4 linked regions of the Alligator mississippiensis genome follow. The protein of the gene in region 3 purifies or fractionates together with the protein of the main gene of each other region. This does not show direct contact. Links are inferred from orthologs where the notes say so. Each region holds a gene or a part of one and is shown on either strand. Other genes may lie near its edges.

Region 1 (7,470 bases), on a different chromosome or scaffold from region 3:
AGTAGAGACTGAGACCTAGACCTAAATCTGGGTATCAGGTATAGACAGGTATAAAGCTAGATAAATATAGGTGTAGATAGAGAGATGCAGGTACAGACCAGTGTAAAGATACCTAAATATGGATGGATATAAAGAGAGAGAAATAAAAGTAGGTGTAGATAGCTAGATATAGGTATAGAGAAATATAATGATAGCTAAAAAGAGATAAATATAGCTAGATACAGGTATACCTGGATATAAAGATAGATAAGTAGCGATAGAGATATATCTATCTATACCTGTACTGATCTAGATAAATAGGAACGGGTATAGATATGTAGATATAGACATAGAAAGATAGCTATATAGAAATAGCTGTATAGAGAAAGATCCAGGTGTAGACAGATATAAAGCTAGCTATATCAAGATAGCTACAGGTAGGTAGGTACAGGTATAGACGGATATACAGATAGATATAGGTATGGATATGAAGAAAAACAGAGATAGGTATAGGCAGATGTGGACAGATACAAGTGTAGACAAAAAAATAGAGGTCAGTATATTTTGATACAGGTATTGACATATATAGAGGTAGCTATAGAGAGGTAGGTATAGGTACAGGTATTTGCAGATGTAAAGATAGATGGATGTGCATGTAGGTAGATGAAGGTGAGCACAGGTGTAAAGACAAATAGAGATAGAAAACTGCGGGTGAGTATGAAGGTGGATAACGAGAGCTGCAGGTAGATGGAGGAACAGACGGGGAGAAGAGTAAATAGAGAGAGATGTAAAAATAGATGTAGATGGATATAAAGATGGAGAAGTATCTCTTTTGGGGGGGGGGTGTCTGTACACACTGTGGTGAGTCTCTAAAGGTGCATCTCTGCCCTGACTTGAGGCTGAGTTGAGACTAACATGGCAACTGCCTGTCTACTCACGTATGTCATAGCGGGGTGCGTGTGGGGTGCCTGGGTTCTGTGCGTGTGTAATACAGGGACACTGATTTCTGCGCATGTACACACAATACGGGGATATGTGTCTGCCTATACACAGGGTGCAGGGTGGGTGTGGGTGTGTCCCAGACACCAGGTTTCTCAGAGAGAAGGAGGATGACCTGGATACTTGGGGGGGGGGGGTGTGTGTGTGTGTGTGTGTGTGTGTGTGTGTGTGTGTGTGAGTGTGAGAGACATCTTGGCAGGGGCTGTGTCTCAGACACTAGAGGGTGGGGGGCAGGCAGTGTCCTAGATGGCTGCATATTTTGTGTGTGTGTGTGTGTGTGTGTAATACAGAGAAACACATGCATGGGCAGCCATTGTGTGTGTATCTGTACATTATATAGGGACAGGTGTGCAAGGGCACCCATTGCATGTACCAGCATCTATGCTCTATATAGGGAGGTGTGGCCCTGCATGAGATCCACACACACGTGTGTGCTCAGGGACACCCCTAATGTGCAGGCATACGTGCTATCTGGGGCTGTGTGTGTGCGTGTCCATGATGGGACACACATCACGTGTGCGGGGCTGCGTGTGTGTGTTTGTGCCACAGCAACCCGCGTTTGCAGGGACACCCACCATGTGTGTATAGGGCCACAGATCCTGTGCAGGGACATGTGTGTGTGAGAGGCCCTGTGCCTGTTTGTGTGCAGGTGAGGTGGGGGGCACCTGCTGCGTGTTGTGTGACACGGGGACGCGTGTGTCTGCCTGTACGAGCCTGGGGGGTTGTTCAGCTCCTGGCTCAGTGTGGGCCCTCTGTGTCCGTCCGTCCCCACCCCCCGGGCTGAGCTGCTCGATTCAAGCCAAAAACAATGACGTCAGGGGGAAAGAATCCCAGCCTCGGGCCCCCCCGTCCTGGCCGGATCCTGCGGGGGCGGAGGCTTAATGAGCTGTCCCTGCCCCCCTCCAGCCCTGTCGCTGCCCCTCACTCCCGACCTGCAGCCCCCAGCCCACCCCCAGCCTGGTCGGTGCCCCTCACTCCCAACCTGCAGCCCCCAGCCCACCCCCAGCCTGGTCGCTGCTCCTCACTCCTGACCTGCAGCCCCCAGCCCACCCCCAGCCTGGTCGGTGCCCCTCACTCCCGACCTGCAGCCCCCAGCCCACCCCCAGCCTGGTCGGTGCCCCTCACTCCCGACCTGCAGCCCCCAGCCCACCCCCAGCCTGGTCGGTGCCCCTCACTCCCGACCTGCAGCCCCCAGCTCTGCCGGTGCCCCTCACTCCCGACCCCACAGCCCCCTGCTCCCCTCCAGCCCTGCCAGTGGCCCCCCCATTCCTCACCCCGCAGCCCCTGCCTCCCCCTCGGTCCTCTTGGTGCCCCACACTCCTGACCCGCGGCCCCCAGCCCTGCGGTGCAGGTGCTGTCCCATGTGAGTTACGGGAAGGAGCCGCAGGGAAGGGAGAGGGATTTTCCCTGCCTGGAAGGGGATTTTGGACTCCCTGGCGAGGCCCCAGCTCCACCCCTCAGGCTGGCTGCCCCCTCCCCCCCACCTCCTGGCAGAGGTGCCTACAGCCTGGCAAGGGAACCAGGTGTCTGAGGCAGCTGCCTTCCCCTGCCCCTCACGAAAGAGCCCGGTGGGGTGAGTGGCTCACCCCAGAGCCAGTCACATTCAGCGCCAGGCAAGGGGCACTAGGGGCTGGGGAGAGAGGGCCCCTGGCTGAGATGCAGCCGCCTCTGGGGTGGGGCATGTGAGTGGCTGAGTAGAACATAGATGCGGCTCTTCTGGGGGGCGGCCTAGGAGATACAGGGTTGACATGCGGCTGGTTCTGGGGTGGGGTGTGTCAGCAGCCGAGTGGCCCACTCTGGGGGTGGTGGTGCTGGGGAGACGGGGCCGCACCCCAGAGCCAGCCATGTCTCACCCGTGTGGGGCTGCACACGGAGGGGAGTGGGTTCCCTACATGGACACAGGTGGGGCGGGGACCCCCCCAGCAACCCCCAGGTCACTAACCTCCTCTTGCCTTTGTCTCCTTCCAGATCTGCTGCCTCTTCTCCTCCAGCCGGACTGGCACATGGGTAAGTCCATTGACAGAGAGCAGTCCGAGGGCAAAGAGCAGGAGAGAACCCAGACGTCTGGGCTCCCAGCCATCCCCGCTCCCCCCACATGGGCCGTGGAGCCACGTGAGGGGAATGGACTTGGACCTCCCCCACCTGGAGCCATCTCCATCTGTTCTACTCAGCCACCAACGCCCCCCACCCCAGAGCTGGCTGCATCTATTCTACTCAGCTAGGGGGGGTGGCCCCTCCAGAGCCAGCCGCGGCAGAGACCTGGATCCCCAGCCCCGATGCCCCCCCAGACCTGGCTGCCACTGCTCCAGGGCTGTGGCTCTCCCAGGGTTTCCCCAGGTGACTTGCAGCCCAGAGTCTGGCTCAGAGGCTGCTGGGATTAGCCTGGTCCAGGGGCACTCGGGCTAGGCAGTCTCTTCCCTCTGGGCACCCTAGGTCTTATGCTGGGGGTGCCAGGGGCTGCTCCTATCACCCTTGGGCCAGCCCCTGAAGCCAGGAATTCCCAAGGCAGGAGCCATCGTCCTGGTTAGTCTGTGCTGCAGCTGGCTCTGGGGCAGGCTCTGTTGGCAGCTGAGTAGAACAGATGCAGCCAGCTCTGGGGTGGGTCACAAGCTGGGGGTACGAAGCCGGGCACTGGGGTGCGGCCAGCTCTGGGGCGGAGGGTGTCAGCGGCTGAGTAGAAAAGGACATGGCTGCTTCTGGGGTGGGCCCAGGAGACATGAGGCTAAAATGCGGCTGTCTCTGGGGTGGGACGTGCCAGCAGCCAAGATGAACAGAGGCTGCAGTATTGGGGCTGCGGGGTGGCCAGGGCTGGGATGGGGTCCCCAGCCTGGGGGTGAGGCCAGGCCCCCCCGTGACAGCCCGGGTGTGTCCCACAGAGCCGGTGCCGAGCTCGACGCCCTTCGTAGAAATCATCGAGCAGCCCAAGCAGCGCGGGATGCGCTTCCGCTACAAGTGTGAGGGGCGTTCGGCCGGCAGCATCCCTGGGGAGCGCAGCACCGACGCCACCAAGACCCACCCCACCATCAAGGTAGGCCCTGGCCCCGCCCCCACCCCGCACCATGGCCCCGCCCCCAGGAACACAAGTGCAGCATCGAGGCCCACCTCCCTATGGGGCAGGGCCTGGCTCCACCCCCAAACCTGAGCCCCACCCCCTGCAGCATCACCGAGGCCCACCCCCCATCAAGGTAGGCCCTGCCCCAGGCCTTAGCCGTACCCCCACGCCACAGACACTAGGGAGCCCTCATCGTCCCAGACGAGCTCGTCCAGCTTGGGCCGTTGACTCTGGAACCTACTGATGGCCGGACCCGAGTGAAACCCCCTCCGTCCACATCCCTTATCCCAGCCTGAGATGATGGGAGTGGGACTGAGTGCCCAGACCCCTGGGTTCTCTCCTGCCAATGGCTGCCCCTCCCCTGCAGATCAATAACTACACGGGCCCGGGGAAGATCCGCATCTCACTGGTGACCAAGGACGCCCCATACCGGCCGCACCCCCACGAGCTGGTGGGCAAGGACTGCAAGGACGGCTACTATGAGGCTGAGCTGGCCCCTGAGCGCAACATCCACAGGTCTGCCCGGACGCCCGGGTTCTCTGCCCAGCTCTGGGAGGGGAGTGGGGGCTGGGGGGGCAGCCCGGACGCCTGGTTCTCTGGGAAGAAAGTCCAGTAATGGTGCTTGAGCAAGTGGGAGTTGGCAGCTCCGTCTCCTGGGTTCTTTTCTGGCTGCTGATTTTTTGGTGAGGCTTTGGGGAAACTGAGGCAGGTGAGGGTCTTGGGTCTCCTGGGAAAATTCGGAGGTGAAACCCCAGCATCTGGCCCTGCCCTAGGGCCCCCTGGCGGGGGGGAGGGTGACGGCGACACAGTAACCCCCTCCCTGCCCTGCAGCTTCCAGAACCTGGGCATCCAGTGCGTGAAGAAACGGGAACTGGAAGAGGCTGTGGCCCAGCGCATCCGCACCAACAACAACCCCTTCAATGGTGAGTGGGGGAGCACTGGGCATGCATGGGGGTGCTTCGGAGCCTGTGTCCTGACCCTGGAACTTGTGGGAGCAAAGGTTTGAGCCTGGGCACTGCCCCTTTAATTTGAACGGGTTAGAACAGAGGTTCTACCTACCCCTTTAACTGGAAGGAAGCTTTGAGCTTTACTTGGGGGTGGAGATAGAGCCCAGGCCCCACCCCTTTTACTGCAGAGTGGGGGGGCTCCCCGGGGGTGGGATCTGTCCCTGGTGGCCTGTTGATGTGCATGGGGGGCTGTCTCATCCATGTGTCCTTGCCCCTCTACAGCGCTAATGAGCAGGAATCCTGGTTTTCTCTGTTTAAAAATGGCAGATTCTCTGATTAACACCCCCCACCCCCAAATCTGTGATTAAAATGGAAGTCCCCTGCGTGTGCAGGTGTCAGTGGGACGCAGGGTTTTATTGTAGGGGGTGGGGCCGGCCCCCCACCGTAGCGCACGCTGCCGGAGGAGGCATGGGGGCAGCTGCGCGTTCAGGCTCCCCGGCCTGCTGCCCTCCCCCCTGGGCACGGCAGGGCAGAGCGGGGCTGGGAAGCTCAGCGCTGCTGCGGCAAGGTGCCCTCTGCTCTGCCCCCTGCTGCTGCTGGGGGGCAGGGGGTGCCTTGCCATGGCGGTGCGGGGCTCCCAGCAGCAGCAGACCGAGCTCGCCCGCCCCACTCTGCCCTGCCCTGGCTGCCAGGTGCTGGGGGGCACAGCAGGGCAGGGAGCCCCCACCCTGCGCACAAAAGTGGGATAACCAGGATCCCTGCTGATGAGTCTGCCCATGGTGGGGGGGGCCTAACTGAGAGGCGGGGCCTATCCACAGAGGGCAGGGCCTCACCCATGTGTCCTTGCCCCCACAGTGTCACTGGAGGAGAAGGGCGAGTACGACCTGAACGCCGTGCGCCTCTGCTTCCAGGTGTGGGTGCAGGATCCAGCCGGCACTGGGCACCTCATGCTCTTGCCCCTCGTTGTCTCCCAGCCTATCTACGACAACCGTGAGCCTGGGGGGCGGGGCTAGGAGGCCTGGGGGTGGGGCTGGAGCTGGTGGGGGAGGAACTAGAGTTAGTTGGGACAGAGATGGATGGGGTGGTCTGAGACCCAGGGGGTGGGGCTTGGGGCAGGAGTGGGCATGGCTAGAAGGTTAGGGTGGGGCTAAATAGGATGGGGGTGGGCTGGTGTAGGTGTTGGGGCAGGGGAGGAGGGTAGGCTTTCCTGGGCTGGGGCTATTGGGCCAGAGGGTGGGGCTACTGGACCAGGGGGTGGGGCTAGAGCTGGGGGGTCCTGACCTGTGCCCCGCCCCCAGGGGCCCCCAACACGGCGGAGTTGAAGATCTGCCGGGTGAATCGTAACTCGGGGAGCTGCCGGGGGGGCGAGGAGATCTTCCTGCTCTGCGACAAGGTGCAGAAGGGTGAGTCACCCCGGACGCCTGGACTCCCCCCGGTGTGGGGAGGGGAGTGGGCTGAGCAGGCACAGTGCGCCGGGTCCCCTGGGTTCTCTGGAGGGGGACGGAGGCCTGGGGCTGAGAGGGGAGTGGGGATGAAGCAGGGGCTCTGTGAGCCTGGGGGTTCCCGCCCTCACTCCTTCCCCCTCCAGAGGACATCGAGGTGCGGTTCTTCCGGGATACGTGGGAGGCGCGTGGCTCCTTCTCGCAGGCCGACGTGCACCGCCAGGTCGCCATCGTGTTCAAGACACCGCCCTACGCCGACCAGGCGCTGCGCGAGCCTGTCACGGTGCACATGCAGCTGCGGCGCCCGTCCGACCGCGAGGTCAGCGAGCCCATGGAGTTCCGCTACCTGCCCGAGGAAGGTACCGTGGGGCAAGGGGGCGTTACGTGGAGAGCCCAGAGCTGGCTGCACCGGGGGGCCTATGCTCCGGGCCCGATCCTGGCCTGGGGTGTCTGCTCTGGGGTGGCCCCCTAAACGCCCTCCCCGCCCCAGGTGACTTCCACTGCATCGAGGAGAAGCGGAAGCGAACCCGCGACACCTTCAAGAGTTTTGTGCAGAAGACCCCCTTTGCAGGTGGGTGGGGTTGGGGAAAGGGGAGGGGCTTCTCCCTGGAGCAGGCTGTAGAAAGGGGAGGAGTCCGGGTGGGGGGCTTCTGCCTGGGGGTGGGGCTGGGGGGGGAGGGGAGTGGCACTTGGTTGGGGGCAGGGCTTGGGAAAGGGGAGGTGCTCATGGCTGGGGGTGGGGCTTGGGAAATGGGAGGAACTCCTGGCTAGAGGCAGGGCTTGGGGAAAGGGAAGGGGCTCCTTGCCAGGGGCTGGGTCTAGGGGAAGGGGTGGAGTCCCTAGGGGCTGGGTTTAGGGAAAGGGGAGGGACTCCTGGATGAGGGGGTGGGGCTGAGGAAAGGGGTGGAGTCCCTGAGGGTGGGGCACTTGGCTGGGGTGGGGCTTAGGTGGGGGGGTAGCTGAATGCCAGGGCTGGGGGTCTGAAGGGGAGGAGCTTAGGGAGAGGGGTCATTGGAGGAGTGGCCTACAGGGTTGTGGGGGTGGGGCTGAG
Region 2 (6,957 bases), on a different chromosome or scaffold from region 3:
AGGACTCTGGAACATGGCGCTTAAAAATGCCGCATGTGGTAAGACTTTCTGTAAGGTCACAACAGCTTGTCGTCTAGGAATGAGTCATCTAAAGGCAGTCCTAGAGGTAGCTGGGGTAGAGACAAGGTGTGGGATCCTTGAAGAAATGAGGCATGTGGGTGTTCGAGCAGGTTTTATACGTGATCAAATGCACATATACACACATGAAATTGCACTTGCACAATTACACATGTGCACAATTACCTGCACACACAGTTGCGCATGGCTGCTAGCAGCTATAGCCAAGATTGCACACCCCACTGGGTTGCACAGAGCACAGCATTTTATTTACTGCCATATAAATTACAGGTGACAACACACTAGAGACTTTTTCCTCCTGGCTGGTGTAATTCTACCTCAGGACTAACTGCAGCTTGCTTTACGAATGGGTTAATGAGTTACAGGGGCATTTAAAGACTGGTGTTACCTACACAGGACAGACAAGCCCAGCCAGGGCCAGAGCAGCAGAATTATGACAGTTCCCACACCCTGCCGATAGACCTCCACTTTGGCTTGGCAGGGCCTCTCATGAAGCAGGAGGGGCAGAAGAGGCAGCAGAGAGGAGACTGTTCCTATGTGAGAGTCTAAAACCTGCCCCACTGGATCCAGCTGAGGGGGTGGCAGCCCACCTGCCCTTCCCCAGGAGGGATCCTAGCTCTGTGAGGGTGGATCTTAACCTGGTGTCCTTGTGGAAACCACAGTCCTAAGGCACCCAGCCCTTTGAGACAGTGGCCTCTGCCTTTGTATGGAGGCAGATCCATGGGGCTGCCTGAGAAGGTGCCCATGAGGGGCTAATGGGGCCGGTCCAGAGCTACCCCAGGACTCCCTGGTGCAGGGTAAAAGTCACCTACTCAGATAACTGGGTCTGGGGGCAGCACCGGCCCAGGAGTGCTGGGATCTAACAGGCCTAGTTCTGTTTCTAGACAGAATTGGACCCAAGCCGGGGAATCCAGAGCCCATGGTGCTGGATCCTGACTCCTCTCAGATGCCTCCTGGTGGCAGCATCCCCTGACTCAGTGAGTTTGGGGGCCTGCTTCCTGATGACAAATTACTAGGCCTCTGACACTCACTGAGAGAATGAGAGGCTGGGGTGTGAGTGCTGGGCCAGTCCCCTACCCATCAAGAAGAGGGTCACATGGCTGCACTATGGCAGGACAGGGGGCCTGTTCCCATGTGTCCCCCTGCAGTGGAAATCAAGATCTGAACCCCTGGGGTCCAACAGGGTGAGGTGAATGAGAGGCAGGAGCTCCTGGACTCTGCAGACCATTCCCTGGGATTGATCCTAGCACCAGGGTGTGGACCCAGATGAACATGCTGCCTCTCTGCCAGTTCCCTTAGCTCCATGCATGAAATCGTGGAAACCAGTTCCTGCATTTCTGGATCCCTGGGTTTCGGGGGGTGGAAGGAGTTAGAGCTGGGAGCCAGGGTGCAGGGAAGGGAGCTGGCTGCAGCAATGGGGAAGCAGGAAGCTTTCATAGGAGAAGGGAGCCAGGCTTGAACTCATGCCTCTGGGGGTACAGGAATAGATCTGATCTGCTCTACCACTGCAACCCTTGCATAGACCTGTGCTCTCTGAGCTGGGGACAGAACCCAGGCATCCTGGCTCCCACCCCCACCCTGCTTTCATCATTACACCCAGCTCTCGGCCCAGAACCTAGGAGTCCTGATCCCTAGATCCATCACTCCAGCCATACCCCAGGGGTTGAGTCCCAGCCCTCCCAGTTCTACCCCCTGCCCCCATGTGCTAAGAGCTTCTCACATCTGGGACTGTGTCTTTAGTGCTGTCTGGAATGGACCCATGTGCCCCCGTTTCCCCAGGCCCCAGCCACTTCCTTTTTTCCGTTCCTCCTCCTATCACTACGCACCCACCCTGCCCCTTTCCCCACTGAGCTCTGGTCTCTGCACTAACTGACCGGGGGGTTGCAAAAGCAAGAACCATTTGTCACTGGGTGATGCCATGGTTAGTGGGGGGGGGGCGTGGCACTTGAGGCCAAAAGTCCACTGTAGACATGGTTGTACTGGGGCAGATGCCCAAAATGATAGGTCCTGTTGACAGGGCCAGAGAGGGGTTCCTGGAGGGAAGGGGTATATCTAGGACAGGTTTGTGGCAGAAAGAGAAGCATAAGGGGAGAGAGGGAGGGAAAGGAGGAGGAATATGGAGAGACAGGAGTCCAAAGCCATGGTGGGATGGATGACAGGTGTCACCACCACTGTGGAGGCCTGGAAGGGTCTATAGGGGAGATGGATGGGGTGGGTGGTGTTTGCATTCCCAGGTCTCCCCAAATCCTCTGTCACTTTATCGCTGCTGACCACGCAACAGCTGCCCCACTCCACCCCCAACACCAGCTACATCTCCCATCCCAGCAAGAACAGCTGCTGTGTTTTACCCCAATGGGTGCTACATTTTATTGGAGGGGGAGGGAGGGGCAGATGGATCACTTACCAGGTTTCAACGGTCTGTGTCCTGGTGCCCTGCCAGATGCTGCTGATTACATAAGAGACATAAGTGTTGCTGGGACTGTTATCTCTCTTCCGTGTGTTACTTCTGGGCCCAGGCCCACAGCATTGGCAAGGGCCTGCTCTCGTGTTTGCTTCTCTTTGCCAGGCTGTTCAGAAAGGTGAACCACCAGGAGTCTTCCTCTTCCTTGCCTCTTTCAGGCTTTAGAAGATTCATAAGGATTTTGAAAACATTTGAATTGCCACCTGAAATGAAGCTGTTTCTGGGGTGCAGCACACAATGTTCAGAGAAGAGAGAACAGGGGCTCTGAGGTGGAATGAAGTGCCAGGGGAGCGGTTAGAGCCAACCCTAGTGGGGGTGCGGGGCCCAGGGCAAATCATCCTGTGCAGGGCCCCCTTAACACATGGAGCTGTGGTACCCCCGCAAAGGGGGAAGGGGGTGGTCTCCATGCTTCTTCCATAGTGCTGGGCTGAGCCGCCAATTCCAGGCGGGCCCTGCAGGAGGGGTCACGGCTGCTCTGCTTGGCTCTGCAGGGCCCCCCCAAAGCACGAGGCCCAGGGCAGTTGCCCCAATTTGCCATACCTTAAGGATGGCTTTGCCAGGAGGAGATTGTCAAGGGGAGTGGTGAGCAGCCCGGCACTGGATCCCATGTGCTGGTGAAGGGCACTCACAATACCTGAGATGGTTGTGGCTCTTGTCCCTGTCTGTCCATGGCTGGTGGGGGGAGTGGGGTGGGTTGTTTAATATCTGTTTTAGTCCTAGGTACCTGGAGTTTTAAGGCATGTAACAGAGTCGGTGGGAGAGCCAGGTAAAGAACCACAGGTGTTCTAGGACCAGGGAATAGAACCCAGGAGTCCAGGTAACCCCTCCCCTTTCCTAAAGGTAGGCCCCACCCCCAGCCAAAAACAAATTAGACCCGGGATTCCCTTCCTCTCCCCCAGTTTAACCTACGTTTTTTATGACAAGATCAGGATGCACAGCATCATCATATGGCAAAATTAAGCTCTAGGCCTGTTTCCAGGGGAGTGAAATCCACATGGGATTTCACTGCTTCCTCTCCCCCGTAGGACTTATTGCGACTATTATGGGCTGGGGGCTTCTCCCATCTCTCTCTGTTCCACCCCAGGTGAACTGTGAGGGGTGGAGACTACAGTCTACCTTGAGCTGGTCCTTTAAGGCGCCCCAGCTAGTCATGTGACCTGCCAAGCAAAGGTGACGCATCAGGCAGAGTGGGAGGAGGTGTCTCCACCGAACGCGTGGTTGCTCCTCATTGGCCCGGCGCTGCAGCCAATAGGAAGCGGCCATCTGGGACGCTAACGTTCGGGGGCGCCTCCGGAGTCGCCCTGTGGGGTGCCGACCAATGGGTGCGCGACTCGCGGGGCCGCGGGCCAATGAGGCAGCGGCAGGGCGGGGCTCGGACCGGCCCCCCATATAAAAGCTGTCGCTGCTACCGCGCCTGCTGCAGTGTCCAGGCACTTCTAGGGCTTGTAGTATCTTAAGGGGGCTGGAGCCGTGCGAGGGACCCGCAGAGATGAGCCCGTTCTTGGTGCTGTGCGGCCTCTTGGGCTTGGCGGCGGCGGGGCCTGCGGAGTTCTTCCGGGAGGAGTTCGCCGACGGAGGTGAGGGCGGGGGAGGGGCTGAAGGGGTGGACGAGCCTCTGGGAGGGTGGGGAGCGCCTATGGGATGTCTCTCCTTGGGGTCTGGGAGGGCGGTGGGGGGAGCTGCGATGGAAGAAGAGCAGGGAGTGCGGGTGGAGGCCCCCCCAGCACGTTGGACAGGAGACTTGCCTGGGGGTTGGGCAGGGAGTAGCGGGTTCTGGGGAAGGGTTGACCCTGTGATGCCTGGGTTATGGGGTGGGTGCCTGAGGTGCGGCTGGGCCTGGGGAAGCTCGGGTGGCAGTGGTGGGGCTCCCATGGAGCAGCTGGTTGGGCCTGTCAGAGGCACAACCCTGGATGGGCCGATGGAGGCTGATCCGGGCCGATGGAAGCTGATCCAGGCCGTCCTGAGGGAGAAGAGCTGACCCAGGGCTCAGGGAAAGGCCTACTGTGTCAGGCTGAGAGGCTGCTCTCTAAACCCACCTGTGCTGAGTGGCCTACCTGAGTCCAGCCCCCAGAGGAGTCTGCCACAGAGCAGAGTCCCTTACAATGGACTCCAGCCACTTGAGGCAGCGGGAAGAAGCAGCCCTGGGCAGAGCTCTTACCCCAGTGTGGTGCAGGCTCTGGGGTCCTTTGTGTTCTAGGCTAGGTGGCAGCAGAGTGACCCATGTGGCTCTGGGGAACAGGAGGGAAGCAGTCACACATCTCCTCGCAGGCCCTGGGCAGCCTGCTGTTGCTTTCACTCTGCTCCCTGAGCAGCTGGGCAGGAAGTAGACTGGGTTTTGGTTTTGCCCCTGCCTCAGGTTGTCCTGAGCAGAGAGGAATTGGTGCCTGTCACTGAGCATCTGGTCAGGCTTAGTGTTGTTGAAAGCAGCTGGGGCTGCCCTGGGCCAGCTGAAAAGCCAGATCCTCTGGAGCAGATGGGCAGTGTTTCCTGGAGGGAAAGAGGCTGAAGGGGCAGCAAAGATTTAAGTGCCGTGTTTTGGGCTGGGCTGCTACTAGCTGTAGTCCTGGGCAGGCCACAGCAGCTCCTGACTGTCCCATCATGCCCTGGGTGGGAGGGGGCAGGGCCTGGGTCCAGGTGGGTTGTATAGCAGGCCTGGGTGCTGTACCATGGCAGACTTTGTACCTACAGAATGGGACCCAGGCCTCCAGCTGAAATGTCTCCTTCTGGAGATGTGCTTAGACATGGTCTCCCCTCAGTGTGGAGAAGGGACTGGACTTGGTGGCAGTGTGTGTCTGCTATGTATCCATTGCCACAGAGGTGACTGCATTTGTGTAGCAGGGGACTCCATCACCATGGATCTCCATCAAGCGCTGCTGAGATAAAGGCAGAGACTCAATTGTGAGGGGTGGGAGCAGGGTCCAGTGGCTGGGGCAAGGCATTGGCCTCTGAACTGCTGAGTTCTATGGCACTGTAACCATCCTAGGTCACAGCTTCCCTCTGCCTCAGTTTACCTGGTGGGTATGTATCCTGTTCCTCTCATCATTCTTGTCATCTGCAGTGGGAAGTAGCTTAACCTAGCAGCTTAACCTGGCAGTTTAACCACAAACCTACTTGTGTCCGGAGATGCAGGGAGGCCCTCTTTGCTGCCCCCTTCCCCCACCGTTTCAACTCCAAACCTTGTATCTCCCCTTCCCAGATACCTGGACGAGCCGCTGGGTGGAGTCAAAGCACAAATCTGACTATGGGAAGTTCAAGCTGACGGCTGGCAAGTTCTATGGGGACAGCGAGAAAGACAAAGGTGGGCACATTTCCTGCTGGTGGTGAAGGGAGGGGGCAGTCTATGGGTCCTCTTTTTGCCCACCCCTTGGCATCTCTGCTCTGTTCTCACAGCTAGGGTGAGTTGCAGGGTCCCCTCTGCTGCATGCTGCCCAGTGGGGCTGCATCCCATTGTGGACTCTCTCCAGGGAAGCAGTCACTGCACCCCCCCCCCCCCCGCCCCCCCCCCGGCAGCTTTGATCCCACAGGTAGTCATGGTACCTGCCTCATGACCTAAGGACCAGGTAGCAGGCCTCATCCCTCACTGCAGATGGGCAGAGCCAGTCCTTTCACACCTCCATTGGGGCTCTGCCTTGGTGGGGTCCTGATTGCACCCTCCCCCACTCCCCTGCAGGAATCCAGACAAGCCAGGACGCCCGCTTCTATGCCATCTCATCCCGCTTTGAGCCTTTCAGCAACCGGGGCAAGACGGTGGTGGTGCAGTTCACAGTGAAGCACGAGCAGAACATTGACTGTGGTGGGGGTTATGTCAAACTCTTCCCGGCCAGCCTGAGTCAGGAGGACATGCATGGAGACTCTGAGTACAACATCATGTTTGGTGAGCAGAGGGGTAGGGGCAGCTGGTGCAAGGCATGAGTCCATTTGGGCCCAGCCAGGTTCATGGTGTTCCACTCTCCTGTGGCTTCAGTTGTCAGGGTCGTGCTAGGAGTGGCTTTCCTTCCTTCTCATCCAGGGGCTGGTGTCATGCTTCTCCACAGGGGGGAATGCAGCATCTTCTCTACATGAGGCTTCAGGGAGCCCTTGGGGAGATGCAAATTCTTTCCCATGCTGGCCAGGGGACCAGCAGATCAGGGCGCATTGGGGTCTCCCAGGGGACCAAGCAGTGTGTTTGAGGGGAGGGGGAGAAATGGCCTGTAGGGGAACTAGCTCAAGTGGGTCTTTCCTGAGCTCACTGCCCTTGGTGGTTGGATGTAATGACCTTGGAGCAGGTTCTCCCAGCTCCTGCAAGGGGTTGGCCGCAGGTGCCCTCCTCATCACCATGCTTCCTAATGGCACCTTGTCCCTCAGGTCCTGACATTTGTGGGCCTGGGACCAAGAAAGTCCATGTGATCTTCAACTACAAGGGCAAGAATGTGCTCATC
Region 3 (6,678 bases):
AACAGGAGAAAGGTTTCTCATTAGAACAAGTCCCCTGCCTACTAAAATCTGTCTAACATATACATATCATATTTGAAATCCCCCACGTGACTGGGAACATCATCTTTGTCTGTCATTGATTTTTATCTCATGCTGCACCCCATCCTCACACTTTCTTTGTGGCTTGCAGGTACCCGTCCCGTGTTTTTGTGGGGGACACATTCTGCTATTTTGCTGGAATGACCTTTGCTGTGGTAGGGATCCTTGGGCACTTCAGCAAGACAATGCTGCTCTTCTTCCTCCCACAAGTGCTCAACTTCCTGTATTCACTACCTCAGCTGTTTCACATCATTCCTTGCCCCCGACATCGGCTGCCCAGGTAAGAAGCATGTAAGTGACTGAGAGTAAGAAGTAATGTGACAGTACCTGTGAGGCAGTTTGGTTCTGGCTTGGTGCTAGGGCTGACGCAGGTGGAATAGTCTCGGTGGAATCTTTGGAGGGTATTAATGGACATAATGTAGTCTGTGGTTGGGGGAGGGAGTGAAAATGGAGATGTAGCCCTTATTCACCAACTAGGATTGAGAAAGATACCAGAGCTGTGGAGAATTTTATTTGGTAATTACTACCTTTCCTTGTGGTCGGGAACAGCATAGCCATAAATTGAATAAATCTTGTGATTTTATGGTTGCTGTTTTCTGCAACGTTCACACTTTAATTTTGAAAAAATGAAAACACCTTTTTGTATGGCAAAAAGTTGAATGTCAAGGAACAAGTTGCTGCCCTGTCAAAGCAGTCTGGCAAACAACTCTCCAGCTGAATGCCTAGCATAAAAGCCCAAATTGCTCAATGTATAGCTACCTGATTCTCAGAGGGTACAAACTAGTGCCCTGATGAACGCTAGCAGAACTGTACTCCAATTTTATACCATCAAAAAGCTTAGGTTACCTATCAAGTTGAATTAAATACAGCTCTCGCCTAATACGGTTGAGTCATGGCATGTGGGTTTCTTTCTAGCCTCATTAAGAAATAATTTTACAGTCCTGCAAAGCTGGAGCTGTAACTCGAGTTGCTAACTAGTTCACATTTTTATTTTCCCAACCACATGGGTGAGGTTGAACTGTGGCTGCTTAGCTGAGAGGCTGTTCTAATGCAGTCTTCTGGCAGTTTTTGCAGCATAGATAGTCCCTACCTACACCATGCATGTTCTACCTTGCTTTTTGATCCATACAAGCTTCTGTAAAGTAGTAACAAAAAGGTTTCTCCCATTTCTGCCCCATGTGATGGGCTCGGGCTGCTGCACTGTCAGGACTGTCACATTCATAGAATTACTCCCACTTTCGGCACCACCTCCTTTTAGACCACTCCTATCTCTGCTTTATGCAGGGATTCAGTTGTCTCTTTTGGTATGATTGAAGTGCATTTTGCTGTTCCTTTCAGGTTAAATCCTGCTACAGGGAAACTGGAAATGAGCTACTTCAAATTTAAAACCAAGAGTCTCTCAACCCTGGGAGCATGCATTCTGAAGGTCAGTCAGCCGCTGTGATCTGAAGAAGGATAATACCTTTGTTTAGCCTGAGTCATTTCCTCCGAACAACATAGAACTTTAGTAAAAAAAACCAAACCAAAACAGGCCTCTTGTAGTCTGACCCCAATGCTTGATGCTCACATTTATTAGAATCCCTCCAAAATGAAGCTTAGCTGCATAAGGCCTGATTTAAACCTGTCCCTAGATCTGTTCCCTTGAATCAAACCCCAGGACTGGAACAGTAGAAGAGATCACTGACTAGGATGTATGGAAGAAATTTTTATCACATCCCTACCAGACCCTAACTAGCAAATATCTATTTCATCCAGTTAAGTGGTGGTTAAATTTCTTTCCCAGGTATCAGAGAGCTTGCGCATTGTAGATGTAAGACGGGGAGTGGATGAAGATGGAGAATACACAGAATGCAACAACATGACTATCATTAACTTTGTTATAAAGCTCATTGGACCAACCCCAGAGCAAACACTCACCATCCTGCTGCTACTCATCCAGGTCAGGCAAATGGTCTTTTGGATAGAAAAGCCTGCTCCCTAATACAGGGCTGTCCAACTGATGTCCCACAGGTTGCATGCAGGCTTCTCTTCCCCCTGCTGTCCCCCATCCTCTCCCAACCCCCCAAATCACTCCTGCTGCTATGGTCAGGATCTCTGAGCTCTCCCTCTTTCCCCTCCAGCTTGTGTCTTGCCTTCACTCCCGGGGGCTGGGCAGAGAGAGCTGTGTAGAATGGCCTGGGCTGCCTGTGCGGCTGGAGGGAGAGGAGCTGAGCTGCCCATGCTGCATGCAGCCCATAGGGATCTGTGGTGCCCCCAGGGTCCAGAAGTTGGACTGCCCTATTCTAATAGATAGCACATTCAAAGCAGAATATTCTGGTTTAAGGGACATTTGAATTCCCCCTAGCTTTGTCTTATGTCTCATGTCTCCCTTTCCATTCCTCTACTTCCTGGGTTGCTCCCCACCTCTGCATGAAATGGTAAAGACCTGACAAGCATCTCTGTTGCCTATTCCAACTCTGTATGTATGCACACAGGCTATCCTCTCCCCTCTGTGACTCCATTACAAAGATCCTCTCTAAAGAGCACTGCAAGGAACTCTCATCACCCATCATGCCCCCCTCCACACACATACAAATAGCACCATTTCTAATTAAGTTGTCTCGCTTAGGCAGACCACGTGCTTAAGTCCCAAATGCTTTCCAGAGGGCTAGGCACTGTCCAAGTGGCAGTCAACTCACCATTGCAATTTTTTTTTCTTCTTTCTAGGTTCTGGGAAGCACAATTGCATTTCTGATCAGATACCAGCTAGTGCGCTTATTCTACGATGTCTGACAGATGTCAGGAGAAAGGGAAGTGCCAGCTCCTCTTAATCAGTCCCTTATTTTCTCTGGTTCTGATCCAGATGGCTGAAATGGTCCTGTGTTGGCCCTGGACATCTCAGGACTGCCTTCCAGATGCTAGGAAAGACTCTGGGACACAAATCTAATTTTTTTTGTTTGTTTGTTTCCTCCTTGGTTGGAAACAGCAGGAATTTGACAGATTCTGCTGTTAAAGTTATATAAGCATCATTACTTCCTAGACCTCCTAATGAGTGGGACTAACCTGCATGTGCAAAGACATAAGTATGATCTGAGTCTTCTGGCCAAGATGATGGGGTAGAGGTAGAGGAGGATCAGCCATAGTTCCTTTCATCTTGTGAAATACATTGTTTTGCCTGAAATATGCAAAGGATAAACCTGCAACAATGCCTGCAATCTCTTCTGAACTCTACATACCGGACAGTCCTCTCCAGTTTCATCTTTCTGCCACAGATACGGAATAATCCACTTTTCAGCCTATCTACAACTCAGAAACAAGATATTCAGGTCGTGTAATCTGACTACAGAATAGCTTCCCATTCCTCTCTGCCACAGGGATAAAATGTTGAAACACAATTAAACGATATCAATTATACATTGCTATGACACCCTCTTATAGAGAATGGTCATTTCTATTGCAGCATCTGTTCTCCCACTTTTCATTGTTGCTGACATTTTTTCCTGCTGAAGGGTCATGCAGTTTCCCTAACCTACATTGCTCTATGACCCATGGCACCTCTAGCACCAAAATACCCACACTTTCACATGTCTCATCAATTATAAAAACAAAAAACACCTTCCGCCTATTTGTGCATTAGCAGCCATCAGACCCCCTGGTCCTAATGGTTTTCCCTTCGTTCAAATAATTCATTTTCACATTGCACTTTTTTCAGCACGACGGTGCTTTACAGTTATTATTTATACAGGGAAAATAATGTCATTCAAATGACAAAGCATTAGAACAACTGAAGTGAAATAAAACTGTACGGGAACCGACTCACTCAATCGGACTTTATTTAGGACACCAGTGTTAACATCCCTGTTGTACTGTCCTTATGACTTGAACTGAATTATAAGGAGTGATTATAGCCTCAGGCTACCACGGTCCGTTTAAAATGAAAATAAATCTCGGGGGACTTTTCCCCCAGCTTTCACGGCCTCCTTTCCCGTGTTGTGCATAAGCCGTGCGTCTCCCGGGGGCTGGGCAGTGTCACCACAGCGTGCGCCCGCTGAGCCCTGGGCCAGCCGAGGCTCCTGGATACTCGAGCTAATGCGGGCTATAGGACACGGGCTATCAACCGCTCCTGAGCCGGGCAGGGTCCGCTGCCCTGCCCAAAGCACGAGCACAGCGTTGGCGAGAAACGGTTCCCCGAGGGGAGGGGAGGGCAGAACTACCCGGGGTGCTCGGGGGCCCTCCTGCTGGAGAAGCGCAGCTCCAGCAAGGAGCCCTGCCTGCTCGAGCGGGCGGGAGCGCCAGGCACCGGGCCCCGAAGGAGCAGGGGCGGCGCTTCGTGCACCCAAACCAGGCCCCAACGCCGCGGGCTCCGAGCCGGCTCGCGGGGGGAGCCGCCCCGCGCGGGGCCGCGCCAGACACTCACCCTGAGGCGGCCGCGGGGCGGGGAGAGGAGGGGCTTGCCGCGCCGGCCGCTAAAGCGGAAATGGCCGTGCGCTCTTCGCGGTTTGAATTTGGCGCCCTGCTTTGCCATTGGCTCACAGAAGCAGCCAATGAGAGCCCGGCCGGATCTCAACGGTGCCCAATAAGCCAGCGCGCCCATTCTGCGCGGCCAATCGCAGCGCGGGCGGCCGCGTCGGCCAATGGGGCGAGAGCGGCGGCGGAGCGGAGTCTACAAGGGAGCGCGCAGCGCAGCTGGACCCAGTCTGCGCCGGAGCCTGGCTCGGTGACGCCCGCAGGCGCCATGTCCGGCCGCGGCAAGAGCGGCGGCAAGGCCCGCGCCAAAGCCAAGTCGCGCTCGTCGCGCGCGGGGCTGCAATTCCCCGTGGGCCGCGTGCACCGCCTGCTGCGGCGCGGGCACTACGCGGAGCGCGTGGGCGCCGGCGCGCCCGTCTACCTGGCGGCCGTGCTGGAGTACCTGACGGCAGAAATCCTGGAGCTGGCGGGCAACGCGGCGCGCGACAACAAGAAGACGCGCATCATCCCGCGGCACCTGCAGCTGGCCGTGCGCAACGACGAGGAGCTCAACAAGCTGCTGGGCGGCGTCACCATCGCGCAGGGCGGCGTGCTGCCCAACATCCAGGCCGTGCTGCTGCCCAAGAAGGCGGGCGGCGGCCCGGCCAAGGCCGGCAAGAAGAGCGGCGCCCAGCAGTCGCAGGAGTACTAGCGCTCCCGCTCCTCACCCCCCACAACGGCCCTTTTCAGGGCCACCCACCCGGCCGGAGAAAGAGCTGCGGATCCGCGGGGGGACCTGCCCCGTTACGCGCGGTTCGGCGGGGCCGCGACGCGTGGTAACGTCGCCGGAGCTTGGCGCAAAAGCTTTGCTCAAAGCAGGTTTCGGGGCCGCGCTGCAGCCGCTTGCGACCGCCCCAGGCGGCGGGAGGGCGGAAAGGAATCGCTCTGCCCGCGGCCACAGGCCAGCACTGAGCGCCCGGACCACGGGGTGCTGTCGGCTCGGGGTCGGGGCCGCGACTGCCGTGAAAAACGCCCACAACTTGCTTTCCTTTGTCTGTTCATGTTGCCAAGAAGAAAGCTCACACCCCCCAGGAGCCTTTGTCTTGAGTGGCCAGCTGGAAAACATCTCTAAGCCTAGCTCAATTTCTGCAGTGAGCAACATTTGTCCTCTATGACAAAGATGCGGTACCCAGGAGCCTCACTGTTCCCGCGTCCCCCAGCCGGAGCAAATTCTAGGTATGGCTACAGGCTCCATTGGCAGAACAGCCCCCATTAGACTGACTGCAGCCAAACTCCAGGCTTCACCTCTGCACGTGGCAGATGTCAGATATTCTCTTCTCTAACAGCGTACAGTGAAGAAGCAGCCTGCTAAAAAAACAAAGCCACTCATATAGCAGTTTTCAGTGTAATAAGGATCATCTTACAGGATTTCCTGGGCTTATCTGTTTCTATTGATTGGATTTAGGCAAGGAAGTCAAACTTGTTCTGCTCTAAAGAGAATCCAGGATAAGCCTCACATTCAGCTTCTCCCTTAATTTGTATAGCACTTATCACCATTCCAAGCTTCTTCTTATATTCTTCTGTTACCTGAAAACAGTACAGAGTGTGTTCTTTGTATATAGAGGCTTGCCCTACTGGTTGATTAAACTCCCATTTTGTATATGCTTTAGTTGTCCTTGTAGTTTGTTTTCTGATTTGCACATAGCTCAAGCAGTTTCCAGACAGAAAGCATTCATCATGTGAAGGGTTTATTTGGACCTACCACTTGGCTAGAAACAGTGTAAATGTCAACCCTCCTTCTGAGGAAAGGCATCTTAAATGAACATAAATTAGAACTTTTTTAGGCTATTCAGTGGTTGTTACATTCAGTGGATATTGCACAGATGTAAACAATTAACTTTCACTTGCAGAGCAGGATTCCTGTACAATGCAATGTAAATGTTTCTAGAAGGCACTGGTGCGTTCTGGAGCAGATGCAGACTCACCAGTGGAAAGTACAGTCCCATCTGTGGTCTTTATAGAAGGAACTGGCAACTAAATCTGGAAAGATTAGTAAAGTTCAACTTGTGTGTATTCTCAAGTCTAAACTTTCTACTGACTTTTAATTTAGAAGCTAACTTCCTGATGTTGAACTTCAACATAAACGTGCCCCGTTCCTGACTGACTGATTCTATC
Region 4 (7,097 bases), on a different chromosome or scaffold from region 3:
GTGGAGGGGGTGGTGGGGCCAGCAGGGTCAACACCATGGCCAGCAGGAGCGCAGGGTACTAGTCATTGCTGCCAAGGGCAGGGCTGGAACAGCAGGGTGCTGGGCATCACTGGCAGGGGCAGAGGCTGGAGCAGCTATGGTGCGGGGAGGCAGGATGGGCAAGGAAGGAGCTACCGCATGCTGCTCCTGCACTGGGCACACGGCTCCTGAGTAGAGAAGGGGCTGGCCAGGGATCAGAGGGTGGGGCTGTATTTCCAAGACAGCTTCCAAGTACTGGCAGTTATGGCTGGAACCAGGAGCTCCCCCCACCCTGGTGGTTACCAGGGTACATGGCAGGGCTGGAGGGACTTGGCACTAACTTTAGTGCCAAGTGTCTCCGCATGTAGACACCTGCCAAAAATTGCTTACTGTGCATTAGGTTAATGCATAGTAAATTTAGTCGCAACTAATTACACATGTAGATGTGCCCAAAATGCAGTTAATCTTCAAATGTTAACAAATGAAAGATACGAGTTAGCTATGATCATGGATACTTACTTATCTTCCATGTCTGCCATATATAGAATCTCAGCAAGACCCAACCAGCCTGGCTGTTGGTCAACTGTATTATTGTCACTTAAAGACCTTCCCTAGAATTATAAGACCTATATGTGGACTCATTACAATCTATAGTCTACCTTTAAAAAATTGTATGCCCAGTGTCAACTCCCATTATCTCTGGTCTGTATTTTTTGATACATGCTGGGATAAAGGTGATGATAATTGTTCTGCAGGATTTATATATTTATTGAAAAATCTTTTTTTTGTCTTATTTTCTTAAAGAAGATTCATGTAGCACCACAACACAAGTAATGCATTTAGGTTATGACTCAAATTTATTGTTGCCAGAAGCAGAAAAGATTTCACTTGTTTATGCCAAGAGTACATTTTGGCTTGGTCACTGAGAAATCTATAGCTACTCCATTAAATCCTCACTCACACTGCAGCTGCTACATTTGACCTTAGTCTAAGTGGTGCAGAATTGCATGAATGATTGAACAAATTGGTAACAGATGCCTTCTCTAAATGGGCAGAGGGCACTGGTCCCCTCCAAATTTGTATGTGCTCCTTCCTCTCAGCACTGCATTACCACACAGGAAAGATGCAATGTCTTTTCTTTCCTGTGCAGCTGTTTCATTTCTGCTGCTTGTGGCACCTCTGCTGTCCCCAGAGCTTTCCCTTCTTGTCTGCCTACCCTACCATACCAGTGATGTCTGTAGAATGCTTTTCCCCAGATGTCCTACCTGCTGCTCATCTACAGAACAACCCATGCTCCCAGAGCTGCTGTTTCCTGTCATGCTTTCATCTTCTCCTATTGTGCTACTATTGATGTCCCCAGAGCTTCTGCTCACTAGCACTCCCATCTGCAGCCTCCTGGTCTCCTGATCTTTTCATATGCCCAGCATTTTATCTTCTCTCTGCTGTTCTAGGACGCCACAAATGTCTCTAGGGTTCCTCTGCCTTTCTGTTCTAGCCACCCACAAATGATGCAGGGAAGGCTGAAGTATTCAGTGCCTTCTTTGCTTCAGGCTTCCCAAAAAGGGCTAACTGCAAGATATTAAAATTAAGATTGCAAAGTAAGGCCAGAATAGGGCAAGAACAGGTTAAAGACTGTTTAGATAAGATGCATATATTCATTCAAGTCAGCGGGATCTGATGAGATTCATCCCAAGTACTTAAGGAACTGGCTGATGTAATCTCTGAACCATTGAATCGTCTTTGAGAATTCAGGGAGGATAGCAGAGTGTCTAACTACTTCTGTATTGCACCTGGACACCACCTGAGCTAACATAATAGTCCTGTCATATAAGCATTATTTTGTCAACTCACATCTGCATACAAGTGACTTTTTGTGGTCTTGTGTAGTATTTACTCATATGCTTATACTTCCACATACAGGCCTTGGAGATGGTTTCCCAGCCTTCTAGATCACCCCAGGATGACACACTACCTGGCTGGCATTAGAGGTATCACTAGAATTTTGATGCCCTGGACAAAACTTCTGGGGAGGGTATATGCCCCTTTGCTGGATCTGGAGGAGTAGCCCTGGGCCCCAGCTCTCTCCAGCCATAGGAGCTGGCTGCTTGGCTGTGGGAGTTGGGTCCTGGGACACAGCAGGATCAGCCCTATGTTGCCCAGTCCAGCCTAGATGCTAGACTGGAGCAGACCCACGTTGTTGCAGTCATTTATGACACACTATATCCTGCCTGATATCTGACTCCCCAGCTACCTCTCCACTACTTACCTGCTACTTTCATCTCCCTTCTCCCCTCCCCCCAGCCTGTCTTTCATCCACCGACTTCTCAATTTACATTTTCACTGACTGCCTTTCTTGCATGCAGACCAGCCTCTGGCTTCTTTACTATTTATTCCATCCAGGAAGAGCGCACACACCAACTGCAGACACTTCCTCAGCCTGACAAAGGATTTTTAAACCCAAAAACTTGCTAAGACAAATTTTTCCAACTATTTAAGTTGGTCTAATGAAAGATTCACCCAAAGAACCTTGTCTGGGGGAGAAAGGCATTTTTCTGGGGCCATCTCTATGTCAGCACCTGGGGCTGGTTCCTCCCCACCCACCCCACCCCTTCCAGTTATACAACTGGTTGGGAGAGACTTAGACAAGCTTTCTAATGTAGTGAATTTATCTCCAAATGCCCCACACTGGAAAGTTTGGCTAAGCCTCTGCCAACCGTGCAGCTGGCCCACTAGAGAGAGATTGCTAGCCAAGTTAGGCTAGAGAGGCAGGAGGCAGGGTAGTGCGGCACCTTCACAGACTAACTCAATCAGATGCTCATGGCTTAAGCTTTCTTCAGCAGAGGGCTGAAGCCATCAGACGCTGATGAAGTAAGTTCTGTGCATGAGGCAGCCTCACCTTAAAGCTGACTATGCACCTTGGCTAGGGTTAATCTACAAAGCCATATCCATACGCAGGCCTTCCCATGCTGCTACTTCCTGGGGTCAAAAAACCCATGCCAAAAAAAAGTGGGGTGGCACATGTGACAGTAGTGGAGGCTACCCAAAACCAGAAACTGCTCGGCCAGAGCCACACTCCAGCTGCCAGATGGGTTCCCAGCTGCAGGAGCACTGCGGCTGCAGCTCCCCAGGCCCGCAGGTAAGGCTGCTGAGGCCAGCACAGTTGCTGGCCCCAGCCCCCTTTCCCCAATCTGGGGTCACCTGCTGCACACCAGAGCACATGTGGCACAGGCTTTCCCCAGGGACAAGCAGCAGCAACACAAGGTACACCACTGCTACTTGTCCTGGGGGAAATGCACATTCCCGCTCATATGGCCGCAGCCCAAGGGTGCAAACCTCCTCCGTTTTCAGCCACAGAGAAAGCCATCACCCACAAATAGGGTGGCCATCATAGAGGACGTTCCGGTTTTCTGCTACTCTGTCCTCTATTGATACAAAACGGGATGCCTCTATTTTTCTATTCAAGAGAAGCCTGAAGAGCTTCTCTACCCCAGCCATTTTTCAAGAGAAAAATAAAGGACATAAAGGCATCTGGTTTCATATCAAAAGAGGACAACCAAACTGTCCTCTATGATGGCCACCCTACCACAGAACAGCTGTCACCCTGCCTCTTACATATGTCCTGGACCATCACAGAGTGGTAGAAAATAAGGCTTGGAAGGGAGCTCGGGAAGGCATGGAGTCCAAGACCCAGCTCAGACCAGGCCCAGCCTCAACTAGATCATCCCAGGCAAGGGTTTGTCTACCCGGGTCTTAAACCCTTCCAAGGGTCTTAAACCACTCCTCAGGCTCTCCGGCCTTCAGCACCCTCCTGCTCGGAAAGCTTTCCCTCCTGTCCAGCCCCAGCTCCTCTCCCTGCACCAATCCGGACTACTATCACAAAGTAACGGGCCCCATCCCTCAGGCTGCAGACTGCCCCGCCCTCCTCCAGGACCCTATGGGGGCGGTATAGGCGGCGCACGCCACGCCCCCCGCTCAGCGCGCGGCTCCTCCCCCCCCGCCCCCTCCAATCGAACGCTGCGGCCCGCCGGAACATTCCAAAAAAAGGAAAAAAGGCAGCCTCAATCGATCGCCGAGCGCGGCGCAGGCTCGGCGCTCAGCGGTGGGCGCTGCCGGGGCCGGGCCAGGCGCGATGGCGGAGCCGGCGGACAAGCTGTATCGGGCCGAGTACGCCAAGAGCGGGCGGGCCTCGTGCAAGAAATGCGGGGAGAGCATCGCCAAGGACTCGCTGCGCCTGGCTATCATGGTGCAGGTACAGCGCCGCGTTGCTGCAGCGCTTTGTGCCGGGCCCCTTCCATCCTCGCCGGGGGGGGGGCACGTGGGTGGAGGGCGGCAGCGCCTTCCTCCGCTGCAGGGGAAACGCGGGGGGAGCGACGCTGCAACGTGGGTAATACTCCCCACCCCCCGCGCCATCCGCAAGCGCAGCTGGGGGGGGGGCAGGAATCCGCAGTGCCCCGCCCCCGCCTCGCTGGGCTTCCCGCGCTCGGCTCGGCTCTGACGTCACCGCCGGGGGGCCAGCAGCTGGGACTCCCATTGACGGAGACGCAGCAGCGCCCCCTGCTGGTCGCAGTCTTCGGAGGAAATCCCGTGGCTCGGGTGGGGGAGCATGGGCACACTGGCAGAGCATGCAGGGACACTGCCCCTGGCAGGAGAGGGGGTCACTAAGTGCGTGCCCCAGCCCTGAAAAGTGGGATGGGAGCTCGATAGCAGGTGCTCCAAAGGGGGCACTGAGCAGAGTGTGCTGCCCTAAATGAGTCCAGGCAGCCAGTGGGCACTGCCTGGTGCAACTCTGCCCAGAGCTGTGACCCTGTGACAGGCCTCTTTGATGCCTGAGTCCATTGAAGGCGTGGGCCCAAGCAGGAAGGGTTAGTCCCTTCCCCCATGCAGTTAGGGGTTGTTAAGTGTGCACCAGCTGATTTCTTGGGGAGCTGAAGCAGGGGCAGGCACCAGGGTTAGAGATTGCACGAAATGCTCCAAGGAGGGCACTGAGCAGAGCATGTTGGATGGCACTCACTGGCCCTCAAATGAGTCCAAGGAGCCAGTGGGCTCTGCCCAGTGAAACTCTGCCTGGAGACAGGACTGCAGAGGAGGAGGGACAGGAGGATGGCCCCACATTCACTGGGTGCTTTCCCAGCCGGAGCCTCCCTCCTGGTCAGGTGTATGGCCATCTTGGTGGGGCCATGGAAGGGGAGCGGGGAGAAATGCAGCCAGGGCATCAGCAAGAGGATCTTGAGGTGGTGAAGGGGCTGCAGCCTGGTGTGCTAACTCCCTGACCAGAAGATGTAAATGTTTCTGGGGTTTCTTATGTTCTGTTTACCTCGGTTTGCATCTTGGGGACTTTTGGGTGGAAACAGATGGGGGGAAGCTAGAGACTGAAACTGTTTTTAGTTGAAGTGTGAGCTGAATCCCTATTGCTGAAGAGCTGTACAGGCTTCTTACTTGTATTCCTTAGTTTTCCCCAGTGATTTAATACACTTTTTGGAGCATATTTGTCACTGACTTAATTCTTTCTTGTGACCTTTTGTGGGGGAATTTATTTTTAGCAGCAATTTGAATGTTCTCTTCCTTCCTTTGATCTCTCTTAATTGAAGAATGAATCGCCATCCTAGCAGTTCATTTTCACCCCTTGTTCATTGCCTTGTGGCTGATGAAAAGTTTACCTAGCTTAATCAAAGAGAGAGATCTCTGAGCACGCTTTTGCCACAGGACCTGCCTGCAATTAGTAAATACATCTGTCTCTAAATATAGTCTGCCCACAGTGCAGTGTAATATGGCTGCTCACTAGGGTGAAAGAATAAGAAACACATTGGAAAAATAAATGTTGACCTAAAGCTTCTGGTCTGATTTCCCCCTCTCCCTTCAACATTTCCCACCTTTCTTATCACCAGTGCGAGGGAAGGGAGTGATGGCACTGGTATAGGGACTGGACTTCTGATCTCCTCAAGGAAACCTTTTGGTCCTTTAAAACATTAGTGGCAGCTGATACCTTGTCTGCCATACTGCACCCGCTGTTGTTATTACCAGTGCAAAATTGTAAGCAGAAGAGGCTAAAGCAGCCAAGGTATATGTTTTAGTCCTGGAAATTGTGTGTGTTTGTTTTTCCCCAGACCATACAGCTGAGAGGAATACATGTGACAAAGCTGCTATAATAACTACCATGATTAAATTAGAATATTACGCTGTAGGGAAGTTAGGTTCATCTTTGCTTGTCAGGAACACTTTTTTCCAATCTTCTTGTCCTTCCATGCCTTTTCCTTGGACTCAAGTGCTATCTGTAGACAAGGGCATGACAGCCTTCTGAAATTAATCCAGTGTAAAGTGTACAGTTAAGTTTCTTATTAGAGGATTATTGTGATTTAGAGGACTCTAATAGAACACTAACAGAGAGGCTGTTTTTCTGTTTCTGAAAACAAGGAGTGGAGGGGGAAGAGATAAGGTTATAATGTGCTTGGGAATGTTGCCTGTTCCGCAAGGTAAAAATATTGTATCATTTTGTGCCCAGGCTATAGATAAGGAAGCATCTATGCAGTTTGCTGTTTGCACTTTTAGCAAAACCTTGCTAATCTGCACACTTTATAATTAAGAACTGACCCAAGTCACAGCAAGACGCAGAGTATTTTGGTTCCCACTCACAGAGTGCAGAGCTGATTTCATGGGCATTTCATGGTGGCCCTGCCTCTCACTGCTGATTGGCAGAGGGGCCCTGGCAGTGCCGCACCTCACCGCTGATTGATGGAGAGCGTCTTCACTCAGTCTGTGCCACCAACCCCCCAAAACCTGGTAATTTCCAGGAAATTGCAGCCAATGGCAGATTTCCCGGTGATCATGGACCATGCTGTTTTTAACCATGATTTAGGTAGGTCCTGACAGTGCACACAGATACCAGTATTCTCTAGCATTGCATTATGAAGCATTAATGATGTTCTGCCGTATTTACTAGTGTTAAAATGCAGTTGGGCCTCACAACTTTGAGGTAAGGTGTTACTGCATTTTTACAGACTAGGAAACTGAGGCACTAATAGAGTCAGATGACTTGCCCAAAGTCTTGCAACAAGCCAGCGGCAGAACTGGGAATAGAACTT

What was found. Proteins that work in one complex are often made in the same cells at the same time.
Region 1: the proteins of histone H2A (region 3) and KAT5 purify together in Homo sapiens (affinity purification with western blotting; 3 studies listed by BioGRID and IntAct, with this or other methods). This does not show direct contact. The link is inferred for Alligator mississippiensis from reciprocal best matches to the Homo sapiens genes H2AX and KAT5.
Region 2: the proteins of histone H2A (region 3) and CALR purify together in Homo sapiens (affinity purification with western blotting; 3 studies listed by BioGRID and IntAct, with this or other methods). This does not show direct contact. The link is inferred for Alligator mississippiensis from reciprocal best matches to the Homo sapiens genes H2AX and CALR.
Region 4: the proteins of histone H2A (region 3) and PARP1 purify together in Homo sapiens (affinity purification with mass spectrometry; 9 studies listed by BioGRID and IntAct, counting the BioPlex papers as one, with this or other methods). This does not show direct contact. The link is inferred for Alligator mississippiensis from reciprocal best matches to the Homo sapiens genes H2AX and PARP1.

The regions. Positions count from the first base shown.
Region 1 is NC_081838.1:4,264,815-4,272,284, forward strand, and holds the start of KAT5 (histone acetyltransferase KAT5), read right to left. Parts: upstream 3,005-7,470; 5' UTR 2,986-3,004; coding exon of another isoform or gene 2,947-2,985; 5' UTR 2,921-2,946; intron 1-2,920. Other genes in the region: RELA (transcription factor p65), read left to right, coding at 2,947-2,985, 3,855-4,006, 4,398-4,546, 4,862-4,953, 5,833-5,967, 6,276-6,380, 6,566-6,778, 6,910-6,990. UniProt on the Homo sapiens protein: Catalytic subunit of the NuA4 histone acetyltransferase complex, a multiprotein complex involved in transcriptional activation of select genes principally by acetylation of nucleosomal histones H2A and H4.
Region 2 is NC_081831.1:22,684,628-22,691,584, reverse strand, and holds the start of CALR (calreticulin), read left to right. Parts: upstream 1-3,953; 5' UTR 3,954-4,028; coding exon 4,029-4,116; intron 4,117-5,735; coding exon 5,736-5,837; intron 5,838-6,209; coding exon 6,210-6,413; intron 6,414-6,883; coding exon 6,884-6,957. UniProt on the Homo sapiens protein: Calcium-binding chaperone that promotes folding, oligomeric assembly and quality control in the endoplasmic reticulum (ER) via the calreticulin/calnexin cycle.
Region 3 is NC_081839.1:35,289,208-35,295,885, reverse strand, and holds histone H2A, read left to right. Parts: upstream 1-4,733; 5' UTR 4,734-4,792; coding exon 4,793-5,215; 3' UTR 5,216-6,168; downstream 6,169-6,678. Other genes in the region: DPAGT1 (UDP-N-acetylglucosamine--dolichyl-phosphate N-acetylglucosaminephosphotransferase), read left to right, coding at 170-358, 1,417-1,504, 1,862-2,017, 2,785-2,850. UniProt on the Homo sapiens protein: Variant histone H2A which replaces conventional H2A in a subset of nucleosomes. Nucleosomes wrap and compact DNA into chromatin, limiting DNA accessibility to the cellular machineries which require DNA as a template.
Region 4 is NC_081824.1:179,588,632-179,595,728, forward strand, and holds the start of PARP1 (poly [ADP-ribose] polymerase 1), read left to right. Parts: upstream 1-4,093; 5' UTR 4,094-4,147; coding exon 4,148-4,267; intron 4,268-7,097. UniProt on the Homo sapiens protein: Poly-ADP-ribosyltransferase that mediates poly-ADP-ribosylation of proteins and plays a key role in DNA repair.